Lepisosteus oculatus: one gene and its partner. The protein of the gene in region 2 interacts with the protein of the main gene of each other region in a pairwise test. Links are inferred from orthologs where the notes say so. Each region holds a gene or a part of one and is shown on either strand. Other genes may lie near its edges. The genes, in order: skap1 and early estrogen-induced gene 1 protein.

Evidence for each region.
Region 1: the proteins of early estrogen-induced gene 1 protein (region 2) and skap1 interact in binary tests that used the Homo sapiens proteins (3 or more experiments, as listed by UniProt). The two-hybrid records come from large-scale screens. The link is inferred for Lepisosteus oculatus from reciprocal best matches to the Homo sapiens genes EEIG1 and SKAP1.

Annotation. Positions count from the first base shown.
Region 1 is NC_090723.1:9,185,325-9,192,921, reverse strand, and holds the start of skap1 (src kinase-associated phosphoprotein 1), read left to right. Parts: upstream 1-4,474; 5' UTR 4,475-4,718; coding exon 4,719-4,758; intron 4,759-7,597. UniProt on the Homo sapiens protein: Positively regulates T-cell receptor signaling by enhancing the MAP kinase pathway. Required for optimal conjugation between T-cells and antigen-presenting cells by promoting the clustering of integrin ITGAL on the surface of T-cells.
Region 2 is NC_090719.1:15,284,663-15,291,737, reverse strand, and holds the start of early estrogen-induced gene 1 protein, read right to left. Parts: upstream 3,265-7,075; 5' UTR 1-3,264. UniProt on the Homo sapiens protein: Key component of TNFSF11/RANKL- and TNF-induced osteoclastogenesis pathways, thereby mediates bone resorption in pathological bone loss conditions.

The DNA of each region.
Region 1 (7,597 bases), on a different chromosome or scaffold from region 2:
TAAGAGCTCGCCTGCGCTGTAACCAGAGCCAGAATTTCCTCTGCACTTCAGAACAGCTCTCCGGCCAGAGACAGCAACGGTCGCCCCCTAGTGGGGCCGGCGGTGTACTTCACACTTCCCGTCTTGCAGGGCGCCCGAATGAGATCCCGGCAGCCTTCAGCCACAGACAGTCATCACTAGCCTGCCCTGGACATTCAGCCTGAGAGTCACCCAGGCAGCCACTGATCTACGGCTGTCTGTGAGCGTTGTTTTCTGCCGCTGACGACTGCAGGGTCTGTGCCAGCAGCGCAGATAGTAAACCCAGAGCTTCCAGGCGAGCCCTGATTGGGACTGGCCGCCCCAGGCCCGACTGGAGTCCTGACCCTGATCCAGATGCAGGTTCGCAGCTACAGCAGGGCACCGGCCTATGCGAAATGAGGACGCCCTAGGAGGACTGAAGCCCAGCCTCCCTGGCACGAGCCTCGGGACTCCTGCTCGGGCCCACTGGAGCGCGTCTGAAAGAGCGCCAGCTCTCCCATCAGCCTGGGCGGGACGTCTGCGTGTCTTGACCCTCCCCCCCAGACTGACCCATTCCTTCCTTATCGGCCCGCGTCCAGCCAGGCCCGAGGAGGCCTTATCGCCAGGCAAGAGCCTCTTCTGCCCTCTCACAGCAGAGAGACGGCATCTGGGCCACCTGGGCCTCTCCCGCCGCCTGCTCTGAGCGGCTGCGTCCGGTGTTCACCTGGGCCGCCCAGGCAGCCAATCACGGCGTCCCGCTCGGGTCACCATGGCAACAGCTTCCACCTAACCTGGGTTTCCGAGGAGAAACTTTCCGAGCTCGGCCGGCACCGAAAATAACCCACATGCTTTATTTTCAGAAGATAGGGGGTGAAATATACATATATACTCAATGTGTTTGTGCAGAGAAGGATTTTAAAGGTTTATGTGCGATGTGTCCGAGCTAAAGGAAGGGGCCCCATCACCAGACAAGCTGAGCTATTTTGAACTGTGCGTTGAGGCCTCCTGAACTGGACACGGTCACCTGCTGCGTTAGGAAACAGCAAGGATGTCGTTCTAGACTGTGACTGTGACACATTTCTGAATTATGATTAAAATGCTCACGCTGCTTTCATCTTCCTCCTGGCCTGTGTGTCTGGGTCAGGTGACAGGGTGAGGCAGAGGTGATGGCGAATGCAGAAGACCTTTCATTAACATGTATATATTCTTCACAAACTAACTGGCTTCTGTGTCTATGGAGGACCCACGACCCGGGTGACGAGTGAGCTCCTGTGCGCCGTGGCGTGGGCAGCAGCAGACCTGCTCCACCCCCCCACCCTGTGCCCGCTTTGGCGTGGAGCTTAATCCGTAACCTGTGGGGCTAAAACTTCATTAGCGCCCAGTCATCGGCGTCTCATTTAATTACCCAGCAGCTTAACGTGAGCTTAAAACAAATGATTTCATTACCTTAAAGGATGGACTCGGGCGCTGTGCAGCGCGATAGAAAATGAAGTCGCGTTAATTAAACCACCCCGTTCGTGTTTTAATCACGCGTCTTCCGGTGATTTGACAGCGATTCTGAAATTCTGGTTCGGGTAGCGGGGCCGGGCTATATCCGCGCCGAGGCGGAAAACAGTCAGCTTTTCGCACTAAAATAAACCGTGCCGCCGATTTCAGATTTATTACTGCTGCTACTGGTACTTATTACCGATAATAAAAAAAAAGCAATGTTTCAAAAAGATGCCTTTCACGTTGCCCAGCGCCTCAGACAACGTCTAAGCACATTAAATATGCATTAAAACGCTGGAAAGCACACGGTATAGGTGCATGGATGGAGAACAGATAACATATCGCCATGGGTAGTGTCACCGCCGGCTCCCCTCTCGGGCACCCGGCCCGCGGGCCTGCGGGGTATCCCGGCCTGGGGTACGCCACGGCCAGCCCCGGGGTGGGCAGAACCGAGCGAGTCGAGATGAGAGGCAACCGTTCGCTGCACCAAGGCCTCGAAAGGTTAGCTAACATTTGTTAAACACACTGTTTTATCAAAGGGCTGAGACAATAATTGAGACAGGAGCTGAAAGCGCGATAATTCTGTTGACGTAAAGATACGCCTTCAGCAGCTAATCTGTGTTTAAGTGAGCGATATCCAGAGCTGAGATATTACTCATTAGTCACTTGCGCCCATTTTACCGCGTGTGATGTGCCGCAGCATGTCTGAAGAAGGAAGGAGGTTTATACAGCTAGGATTACTTTTAATTACGGGTATTAAAATGGAAGGCAACGCCATTATAGGCTACTACCGCCATTATTGTCGTTGCCGTCGTTACCATGTGTATGACAACATCGAATTGACAAGGAAAAGCTCCCGCCTGTGACAGGACCGCACAGTTCGCCTGTAATAGATTGAGCGTTGAGTGAGGAGGAGATTAAGATTTTGCCCCAAAGCGAGCAGCACCACCTTAGATTTGTAAAGAAAAAACGTTCAAGTTAATCCGTTGTAGCTCCTATGCAAGCTGAACTGGAAAATACCTCCGTTTTTTTTTATCACAGACAATTTATGTAAAGTACTGCGATTAGAATTACCTATTAGGCTTCACTTCCACTGATGTACAGGCATTTTTAGTATTTAGTATTTAGAGTATTGTAAAACCAAAAGTAGTTTTCTGTGCAGAAAACCGCCTTGCAAGCAAGCAAGGGGGTCTCTCCCCCTTCACAGTTTGGGGAAACGGTGTGCAGGGCTCATTGGGGTTCCCAAAATGCTCAAGGACTGGTAACCCTGAGGAACTCCTGTCTAGTTAGGGAGCAGATTAATCATTCATAAAGAGGACCTTTAAGACAATGAATCCTAAAATACAATGTCTTGGATGGTGCTGGCTCAGGCCCTCCTGTGTCTATAACTTTTCCAGACCTGGATGTCTCTCCGCCTCAGGTGCTTAAGGAATTGAATTACACACTCCCTACAACGCCTGGGCCTGCTGCTCGTGGTCTTGATGGGTCACAGACAGGTGAGGAGCCCCGCAGGACTGGAACTGTGGGACCACAGCTGGGATTCACTGGGCACACATGCCAGGACCTTGTCCCTTGGGTGACACTGAGCCCATCCCATCAATCCCACTGATCCCACTGCTGATTCCCATCTGGGGGCCGGAAAAGGCTCGATTCCCCCCCCATTTCAGGTTACAGAAACACCAGTAGCTGCAACACCGCATCGTGTCTCTGGCCATTCAGGAGAGAAAAAATCCACATCACTTTAAGACTAGCAATCTACAGCACATGTTCTCAAACCCCTTATACAATCAGATCAAAATATATGGTGTATATATTCAAGATTGCCAGAAGTCTTTTGATGCAGTTATTCAGAAAAATATAAGGTGGTAAGCCTTCAAGATTATGTATTGGGATAGAGAACTGGTTAATATGCAGAGTACAAAAGGGTACATGCTCAAACAGGGGTGATATGATTAGCAGAGCAGCGCAGGGGTCTGTATTTGGACCACTGAGGTTTCTAATTTCTGTCACTGACCTGGACTCTGGTGTGAATAACAAATTGGTCAAGTTCGCAGATGATGTCAAAAAAGGATTAACAAGCACTGTAGGAGTTGCAAAGGGCATCTACAAAAAGACTGTTACAAAATCCCAAACTAATAACTTTAATGGCCATAGTTGCAGGTAAAAACATACATATTTCATGGAAAACACTTCGTAGGAAGCAGCTTGTGAAAAAAAGATGACATGTTCATGTTAACACATCATTTTCGTCTTCATCTTCACCTTTCGGCAGGGTCTGTATTCACCCCTCAAGTTCTGACGATTCGAACCCCCCTCTCTGAACGGGCTTCATCCCTCTGCTCTCCTCCCCACTGAGAGCGGGTGTGTGGGGGAGCGGACTGGCGCATCACCCAGGTGGGGGCCGCACGTTCAAGGATTCAAACTCGGGCGCGCCCGGGAATTAATTCGGAGGCGCGGATGAAGCCAGGAGTCTGTCAGCGCGCCGCGACAGGCCCCCCGGACTTCGCGCTCAGCTGGGGAAAGAAAAGATTGTTTTGTTTTGTTTTTTTTCCAAATCTGGAAATCACGTCTCTAAGTCTCTCATCAGGAAGCACTCGAGCGTTAACAGTTGTCTCTCAAACGGCAACTCCGACCCTTTCAGAGAATAAATATATAAAAGAGTGACGCAACGCCCCCCCCTCCCCCCGTCATCCTCCCCCAGAATCAAAACCTATGATTTAATGTCTGCTAGGAGGAGGTGTAGCAGCTGAATCTCTGGGAGGCTTATGTAACTGTGTTTATGAATTAATCGGCGCGCAAAGCAGTAAAGTAAAATGCACGCTTTTCAAGTTCACATTTTAACATCTCAACAGCTGTATCTTAAAGTGCTCGTTTTTACGATTCATAGCATCTGTACGAAGCAACAACACGAGAAGTACGCTTGCTACTTTTTCTGCAGCTGGGGGGGGGGTGAACCCGAGACACCCTGTGCACGGAGCTGAAGCGCGAGGGAGTTTTTTTTTTCTGACTAAACCCGACCCACGCGCGCCCGCTTTCAATTTCAGTTCTGCGGGGCTGGCAGGTGCCTGCGCGTGTGCGCGCCCGCGCCCCCGCCCCGGGCGCGCTCACCGGCGGAGGTGGAGAGGTGGAGGTCAGGCTCGTTCTCCCCCGTCGCCGAGTGCGAGCGCTCGCCTGCCCTGCTCGACCTGGACCGCAACACCTCTCCGCATCAGGTGGAGCAAGGACGCGCAAGCATGGACGTCGTCCCCGCAGACATTAAAAGACTTCTCGAAGGTAACTTTCAGCTTTCGTTCACTGACCTTTTTTTTTTTTTAAAGTTTAAATGTAACCTGTAGATATCCCTGAGAATTTCACATGAGCGGCTTGGGAAACACTGGAGGATTCAGCTCTGTCCCGCTGGACTCGTCGTTAAATTAAAAAACCCAGCAGCAACAGAGAATGACTAAGGACTGCTCATTTGATCTGCTATCTGCTGGCGGTGCCAGTCTAGGCTCCCTCTTTGAAAGAAATGCGTTGTGGCGACGCTGGGTTGATCGTACTGGCGACGCTGGTGGCGTGGTAGCCTGGACGCGCCGAATTAGGCCAGGAAAGCGTCGTTAGCACCGGGATGAGAACCCATTCACTGTCACGGGTGCACCCCTACAAAGCTGTAGGATTCCCATTTTGTGGCCACCCGCTCCTGACGCTTTTGGGAAATCATTTTTTTTTAAAGTATAACGTTTTCTACTAGGGAGGATAGCGGCCCCAGCCGCAGGACACCGGTCAAAAGCGGCCTAGGACAGACGAAAGGCGCTCCCTCGAGTCGTGAATCTGTAGTTTTACAGACCCCTGAAGTTTGTTCTTTCAGAGTCTGAAGGCTGGTGCCTCTTCATGGGGAAAGTAGCTGAATTTGGGCTGCTTGGGAGTTTTCAAGGGCGTCACAAGGAGTCCGATGGCGGCTGATGTAGTCGGGGCGCGGCTCGGGTACCATTTAACCCATCTGCTTGAGTTGGTGCTTGTATGGGCTGTGCTTGTGAATTTCTCTCCGAATCGTGTTTTTGTTTCCCCCTTTGTATTTCAAAAGCACGCTTAAATACTGTTACAGCATAAGAATGAGAGAGAGAGGGGACCTCGAACACCTGGGTACTCGTGTGTATGTACTGGAATTTATCCAAATTGGCATGTGCAAAAATGGCTTTAAATGGGTGAGGACTGAAACTGGCCTGGAATTAAAAGGCGCAAATGTGAGTTTTGGATTGCAGGCGATGATTTGCATTTCCGGAACAATGTGTATCAGTCCTTTGACAAGTATTTGCATAGGTCAACGGGCATGGATAACACCCTGTCAGATACGTACTGTAACAAAACAAAACAAACCCTGACGTTTGCATGTGTACATTCGGTGTAATTTTGTAATGTTTTTTAATTGGCTTTCAAGGTTTTGTCTACTGTAAAAGGCCTCGTTCCACTAGATATCATTTGGATGAGAGTTTTGAATCCAGGCCTAACTACTTAGTGTTGCAACCTCATGCCAGAATATGGGGGTGTTAATGTAGTCCTGGCCGATTTCCACTGCTGTACAATCTGACCTCCTTAGAGTTCCGTCTTAATGCAACTGGTGCAGCAGTTTTGCACTCCTCCCCTTGCTCTAGTGTGCTGTGGGGGCTGCTTGCGGCACCCAGGTGGGGCTGCAATGTGGTGGCAGACAAACTGGGTCCCCCTCCTGCATGAGAGTTGCTTAGCGATCTTTCAAGATGCTACAATCCCGCGAATGCAATAAAGCAGTGTTTGATTACCCAGTGGTGGGCATGAAGATGTGGCCAGCTTGGGCAAGAACAAGGAGATGGGGAGGAAAGTCTTTTTTTTTTGTCAAAGGATACAAAGTAGGTGGTCTACAGAGTGAGAGGGGATTTGAATGGTGAGCATCAGCTGTATGTGTAAAAGATCACACCGAGGTTGTAAGGTTTACACAGCTTTTTCTGATGGGCAGGGCTGTAGAGACATGAATGTAAATGTAAACTGACCGTCTTTGGATTTGACTTGGTGCTTCCTAGCAAAATTATTTTTGTAAATTTGTCGTGCAGGAAGAACGTGGTTCGCTCCTCACTTACTTTGGAAAGCCCCAGCACAGAGGATGCACCTGAGAAATTCTTCTCTGTTGTCGAATATGTGCTGCTTGCTGGGTAGGAGAGATGCGTGTGAAGACTCACTGAGTTGTTCAGTTTGAGACCATAAATTCTGCATTGGTGAGGGGGAGGGGAGTTGAAACATGCAGCACATCGAAAAAGCTTGGGATCCCAGCTGATTTGTTAAAAACCTGCTTTATAAGTTTACGAATCTGCGCTTTTAACTTTAAAACTTTAAAATTAAAATTGTTGAAGCGCTAATTGTTTGGGAGTGAACATACATTTCTGCTGCACTGAAGCTCTTTACTTAGAGCAGGGCACTCAGCTTTTCTTTCTGTCTCTGATCGTAAATGAACACATTATGAGTATAAGTCACAAACCCTGATTGTTTTACATTTTGATAAGTTGCTGATTGGGATGTACCAGTAAATCCCGAAGACCCCTGGCCCTTGAAGACCGAAGTTGTCCATTCTTATCTTAAAGCACTGGTTTCTAAAGGCTGCAGCAGGAAGGTCATTTGCTTAATGAAGTAATTCAGAGACGCGGGGCAGCGAAACTGACTGTACTGCCTTCCAGAACCTGAGGGGTTCAACACCTGAGCTAAGTGGACAAATTGATCGCTGATTTGAGCAACGTGGGCTTACCCACCTCCTTGGAGTGCTAGTAATAATAATAATAATAATAATAATAATAATAATTATAATAAACTTATTTTATATAGCGCCTTTAAAGGTGGCATTTCAAAGCGCTTTACAGAATGATAACAACAATAAATAAGAAGAATACACAAGATAAAACACAATGACAATACACAGAGGAGACCGTGGATGGTGGTACTAAGAAAAGCAGAGGGGTGAAGAATGGAACCAGTTAAGTAAAGGCTTTTCTGAAGAAGAGGGTTTTGAGTCTGGATTTGAAGGAGTTTAGAGAAGGTGACTCTGATATCCTTGGGGAGAGAGTTCCAGAGCTTGGGGGCATAACAGGAGCAGGCCCTGTCGCCCATACAA
Region 2 (7,075 bases):
TGGCAGAGATCGGCAGACACTGCTTTTTCTAGTTCTCAGAATAATGCTAATAATTCACAAAGAACTGGAAACGAATCACAAGCCCAAGCCTCCTTTCACGTGCAGCCCTTGTGTCATTTTTGTTGTCCTTGTGCCTTTAAAGACATGGATCACGGTAATGATGCCAGACACAGGCAGTGACACTTCTGAAAACTGCTGATCAGGTCCAACCAACAAGGAAGGAAACAAGTTCAAGTAAAAAGCATTTAGGAAACAAAATGGGATGCACAGACAAATATGGACATTCTTCTCGAGAACTCTCAAAAATACACCCAAGGAGCTCTTCCAAGTGTACGTTACCAGCAACCACAACCCTGCAAGCGGGTTTAACAAAGTCCAGTTGCATAACTGATTTTTTAAATCTAAACAGTTTGACATTTCATAACCGTAACTACAACTGGCTCGTCCAACAGAGGGGAATTCGGGCCTGTTATGACTAGTTATTAGAGTTTCCTTTTTTTCTAAAGACAGCCCAGGTTAGCTTTGATCTCAGGGCCCTGGTTACCTTTGATCTCTTGGTTATGAAAGCCTGTTTCACAAAGCCGCTTGACCCCAAAAGGACTGCCTTGTTCAAGCAAATTCACCTGTCCCTGCGTAACAGGGCTGAGGGATTCCAGTAACTCCTGCTTATTCAGCTCACACGTCAGCAAGTAAGACATATCGAGAGGTTCAGCATCAGTAGTAACTGAGGTGTGAAAAAACAGGAATATTGCAGACAGTGGACACAAGGAGGATACAGGGGGCACCGTTTGTTAACCATGACTATTTTTTTTTATAAGGGTTAAAATAACCATGAGGTTAATGCTGTAAACACTGCACTGAAAATAGGCTCAATGGCCAAACTATTAAGCCCCCCTGCCTCCAGGGTCTCTCTCTCAGTGGCAGGCAGGTCAGGATATTTACCGATTTCTCTAAAGTGAAAACTGGTAGAACGTGGGGGGCGTGCACCTTAAAATTTCACACCGCTCATGCCATTATCACAACCTCAAACAAGAACCCCGCAAGGTACAAGGGTACGCAAGACACGCCCCGTCCTGGACGAGCCCATCTTGAGCTCTGCAGAGGCCCCCCAGTAACACGGCCTACGAGAATCTCTCTCCGCAACGTCCGTGGTGGAAGTCTCCAGATGGCTGACTTCCTGCCTGAATTCTAGCTTCAGTTTCTTTCCCCTCTCCGCATGCTCAACTGCGGCCAGATGCTCTGTAAGGTCCACGCCTGCCGGAGACACCACTCCTCGAGGAGGGACGGGCCTGCCGGGCCCGATCAGGCCTGCGGCCCCCCGCCCACGCCAACACGTTGAGTGTAGTGCGTCACAACGCCACTGCCAAGCCCTGCAGCGCACACGGAAAGGACTAGGACTTTAACTAGCGTCCAGCGTCTGCACCTGCACAGACCCTGATAAAGCACAGGGCAGGTCCACTCCAGAACGATGCGCGGAGACAGGACCGAGATGGTGAAGCTGGGGATTTACAGTACTTGTGTCCCCAGGTGGAGACGAGCTCATTCCCCTCTCCCTCTCCCACACACTGAAACTCTCTGCTCGTTAAGCTCTTCGCTGGGGGAAAGGTAATAGCAGGCCCTGAATGGGCCGATTGTTGGAAAGGAATTTGGAACAATTTTGCTTTACACAAAGGAGCTGAAAACCCAAGAGGGGGTGTTCACCTGCTGGAAACGTAATAAGAAATGATTTGATACCTCCTTGCAGAGAACCTAGGTCAGCAAAAAAAAAACTACATTTTTTAAGAATATTAGAAAGGCTACAAACTAGAGGACAGAGGAGACTATTCGTCCCGTCTTGCTTGTTTAACAGTTAGTTAATAGAAGAATCCTACCACTGCTTGAGAGAAACCAGATATCAACTTCAACCCAACTACTGTAGCTTGTTCCATACGACCACAATACTTTTGGATAAAACAATGCCTCCCGTTTTCAGCTCTCAGTTTGTGCGCGCCTGTGTTTATTCTGAAGAAATCTTCTGAGCTGACTTTGTTCATATCTTTTGAGGATCTTGAAGACCAAGAGGTACATAACCTAACATTTTGTTTGCATTTTTAATTGCTATATTTAAGTGATGTGTCAACATAAGCACCTTGGACCTCTTTCAAGTGTTTCTAGCTCAGCGTTTCTCTTTATAAGAGACCTTCTGATTGCTACAACCAAATACAAAACGACCCATGTAAAAAACTCCAGGACTGATGTTGGGGACCAGTGTAGGTATGTGCCACTGTTCAGAAGCTTCACCTGTTTTGCTGCTCTTGATTGCTGTGCCAGCTTTTCATGAAGCAGATGGGTTTCCACAGGACAGTGACAGGTTTTATCTGTAAAAAATATGCTCCTAGCTTCACAGCCCATTCTGTATGTGAGTCCATGAAGTACAGTCCTACAACACTGAGCATTAGCACCTTTACTGTTTAAAATGAAGCTGCCACATCCCATGCCCTGTTCTGTAGGAAATAGCCTTTTAGTCTTTCAGAAATGTTTGCTTATTACGTACGTGAGTGCCGGACTGCACAGCACTTTCATTGAGGTTTAAAGTGCCTTAATAATAGGCCTGCTATTGGGAAGAAGAGGTTTCCCGTCTGCCAGCCTTCAAAATTACTAGTGTGCGCTCAAAGAGCCCATTCTCCACTTGGTTTTTTACAGCTGTCTCTATAGGACTTCACTCCTCCACCTCGTCTCTCTCCCTCCTCTCCATGCAGCACAGAGCTCACCTTTTAAAGAAAACATGAATGCGGGTTCAAATTAAATATCCTTTCCCTTCCTAAAGAGTCAATAGATTCGTATGCTTCAACAAGAGCTGGACAAGCAACGTTTTGAAGAACTTGTTAGAATATCTAAGCTTAGATAATATAAGAACAAGAACACACACTTATTAAATATTTATGGTATTTTTCCCATTCTAATAAAACAAATCTAATAAAACTGCATATTTCCCCAAAAGCATTTGAACCGATTTACAAACCTGAGATTTTTTACAGAAGCAATCCGAGTGAAGATTTGAACCCACAACCCTCCAGATACGAGTCTGGAGCCCTGACCTCTGCACACCACTGCTCACACGTGCAGCTCGTATGCCCAAATAAACTGTAAAATAAACGACTGTTTTGCTGTCAGTTCCTCCTTTGGTCTGGCTGGCTGGAGATGACTACGGAGCCGCTGCAAATAAACGATTCAGACGCACCAACACGTAGCAAGCAATGGCATTTTTTTCAATCACATTTGTGAGGTATCACAATTACAGCTACACTCCTCCTTTTATTGTATACCTGAACAGCAGCTACACCAGCCTGGTATGCAGCAGTCTGGCTTTTATCAAGTTACAGCTTCGCACCTGAGCACTGGACACACAGCCTGAACTGGCATATTCTGTTATGCAATGTACCAGTTAAGCTTAAACCAAGCTGAGTCACAGCATGTGATCATGGTCCCCACCTTTGGAAACCAGGCAGGACTGCGGATCTGTGGTATATTTGCGATGTCAGTTAGAAAGCTGTTATATAATTCGTAACCAGCTTATCCTATTCCAACTGCCAGGTTAATATTTTTCTGCAAGGAAGCTAAGAATGAAATGTTCAACTTGTAGCGTCCTGAACATTTTAACAGGGAGTAGCACACAGCCTGAAATCACCAATCTAAACCTTTGTAAGCTTTCTTTTATATAAGTGGTGGCCAAAGAAATAAAGTAAACAGCGATTTCATGTGGATCATTCCTCCAAGTTGGAGACTGGGTGTCTCCGATCAAACTCGGAAAACGTTCCGTTTCCCTGGCGTCAGCAACCTGCAGCCTGAGAAGGATCACAGAGCGAATAACATTGAGACGAGCTAGTAGCTGGATCCTCTCTGCAAAAAAAAAGTGCTGACGTGGCTCTTACAGGCTTTACTTGTATTTTTAGGGAAGTACGGAGGGTGAAGGATTCTTTCTTCTCAGCCAGGAGGAAAAATAAAAAAACAAGTGATTTTAATTGAATTCAGAGAATTCATACCCCATTTTTTTTAACTCTTCTTTCGTGGTCTTTCTTATTCACATTTGTTGAGAGCTTCCTGCATAGCCTGCTCTTCTGAAGCAGTTCACCCTCAGCTCCGCCTCAAGTTAAAACCAGGCTTCACACTGGGCAGGCAAACACCCGAAAAACATAGGAAAACAGGCACTCGGAGACAAACTGACACGAACATGCACGTTCAATTAAACTAACAGGGCTGCGCGCACACACGCACAGGCCGAGACAGCATCTGTATCCAATCTGCTCCCTAGGCGATTAGCCGAAGACAAACAGAAATCCCCAGAAAAATTCCTCTACACGGGCAGGCTCACAAGACAGGGTGAAAGGCCACAGTGCTCCGCTTCAGAAAGATGGGGGCTAAACTGAAGGAGATGGCTGCCAGCAACCACTACAAATTAAAAGCTTTTTTAGCCAGAGAAATGTACCGCAAAACTACATCTAACATCGGATCCCGAACTTCATCCCTCTACTGAGCGCGCAGCTGGCTGGCTGGCTGGGGAGCTGCAGGCCGGCGCATTCTTCCCAAATTCAATAAGTCACGATGACAAGTCAGCAGCTTTTGTGGGATCTTTCGGAGTGCCGGCACTCCTCCAGCTTCTCCAGGTTCTCTTCCGAGTCAGCTGCCATGGAAGTCTCGGGACTGTCCAGGCAAAAAAGTCCCCCACTTCCCTGCGATCCCCCCCCAACTCAAAAGAATCCAGAATTTCCCAAACCCAGCCCCTCCGGGAAATGGGAGCCGCATGACAAAGAAAGAGAAACACGAACTTTGAGAAGCCATAAACAAAGTAAAGTTCCCTGCCAGAGGTACGCTCGACCCAAACCATGAGAGCTGTAAGCTCTGCAGGTCAGACCCGGGAACTTTCTAGAAATCTTTGATGTGGCAAAAGAAAAAATACAGCCGCTGCAGAAGAAAACACTTTCCAGAACTCCATTCAAAACTCAACACTTGAGCCCGAGTCTCAAGCTGGGCGATGTGGGTCGAGGAGTGGTCCAGTCGGAGAAACCGTGAAGAATGTCATCTTTGTGATGCCGTGACCCCGCCCGTGCCTGCTGGGGATTGATGCTCAGCAGTAGCAGGTGTGAACAGGCACTGATACTGAGACAATGACGCCCCTGGCAAGGGTCTGACATTACAAACTGGGGCTTATCGGCATCACCAGTGTTGCTAAACCACAAGATGCTTCTTCTCTCTCTTCATAGGAGTCACCTGAACGACGGCAAGGCTGAATTTTAGCAAGGGAATTTAAAACTCCTACAGGCTAACAGCATGCCGAACACTTTAAAGCCAGGGTTCTTACATCTGGTGTCTGGGGATTTCAGATCATTCAAGCTCATGTTCCTGCTGGGTTTTCAGTTAATAAACTACTTCATTTGGCCTTTTTAATTGTTTTCAGCTCTTATGAAGTTGATCCTTTAAGTAACTTCGGAAGTATCACAAACAGTAACACTTCGGTGGCGCAAACTTAATAAAAAGCGTCCAAGACCGAAAACGATTAGCCCCTTTCAATTAAAGACTTAATTGCGGATTTGAAAGCCGGGCAAGACTCAAATATGCTTGTGGTGCCGAGAAGCAGCTGGGGAGATTAGGAGACGGGGGGGAATGCAAATGAGAAGCTGCATGCGTGTCAGTTTCAGAAAAAGGCCAAAACAAACCGCTCAGCTCTCACAGGCCTTTTCACTTGTCATACGCAGGCGTGAGCCCAGACGTGCGCCCCTCTCCATGAACCAGCCCTTTCCCTGGCCGCTCACCCGCCTGCTCTTCCCCAGCGCCGCGCAAGCCAGCCAGGGGCTTCCTGGAACAGGACCACCTTGCTCACTCGGCACAGCTGCGAGGAGTTGAGGAGCTGGCTCCTCACCAGCCAGCGGGCCTGTGCTCTCACCGAGCTGCTGGAGCAGAACCAAACTAACGTCGCTTTCCCAGAGCGGTCTGCACGCTCACCGGCAACAGCGCTGCTGCCTCCGATGTTACAGACCACGAGTCAAATCAGACGTTCGATTCCACTATCAACACCAAGACACAGCAAGATCCTCCTGTCACAATCCTCCTCCGTGCTGTGACTCTGCAGCGCTCTAGAAGCAGGCAGAGTATATACAGGAGTAAGAGAAGAGGACAGGAAACAAAAAGCAAGAGCAGAGGCTCCAGCGACAGCGAGCTTGAAAACAAAGACCCCCTACTCCTGGGCAGGTTTACTAAACTGTGCACTTGGGGGAGATCCTGCAGTCTCCTTTCTTTCAGGACGGGGTTTTCAGACTGCCAATGCTGGATTTCTGGACCTTAATAGCCACAGTTTTAGGGGGGTGGGGAGGAGTGGATCTGATTTTGCTTAAGAAAGAAAAAGACAATATGTACATATTTGCTTCCAGTGCAAAGTTCACTATAATCTGTCCCAGGTCACAGCTCAATCCTAACTATAACATTACTCCCTCTATATCAACAAAAAAAGTGCAGAGTCACAGTAAAGGCCTACTAAGCTTTAAGCACACACGTAGATATTAAATGGCAATAGCTAAAGGATCCCTGTATTGCTTTTCCACAAAAGGAGATCCTTTGAAATTCATAACCAAAACAAGACCTGTAAGCAAAACACTTGCAGCTGCTCTCCGAGTCTAAACCACTGAATTCGCTAATAAAATCAGGAACTGCTCAACAGGCACCAGAAATCCACTGAAAAAAAAATCGATGTTTTTGTTTACCAGTGAATACTTGGACCTTTATCAAGAGTTTACTTCACACTAAGGATTCCTCTCCAGATTGCCAGTTTCGACACAGGCCCCTTGGTTTTCACGTTGTGGAACAAGGTCCAGCGAGGTGAAACAACAGGCGGCGCCGGCCCACAGCCCTGCACCTTATCTAGAAGGAGCACTACCGGCCTGCTGGTACCTGTGGGAGCCATGTGTTTCTGAGCAAACAACCAAAGCTTTCCTTGTGTGGCTGTCACGGCAACAGGGCCGGGCCTGCGTGGGGACAGGAAACTGTAAATCAGTCCTGTGACACACACACACACACACACGCACACACACACACGCACGCACGC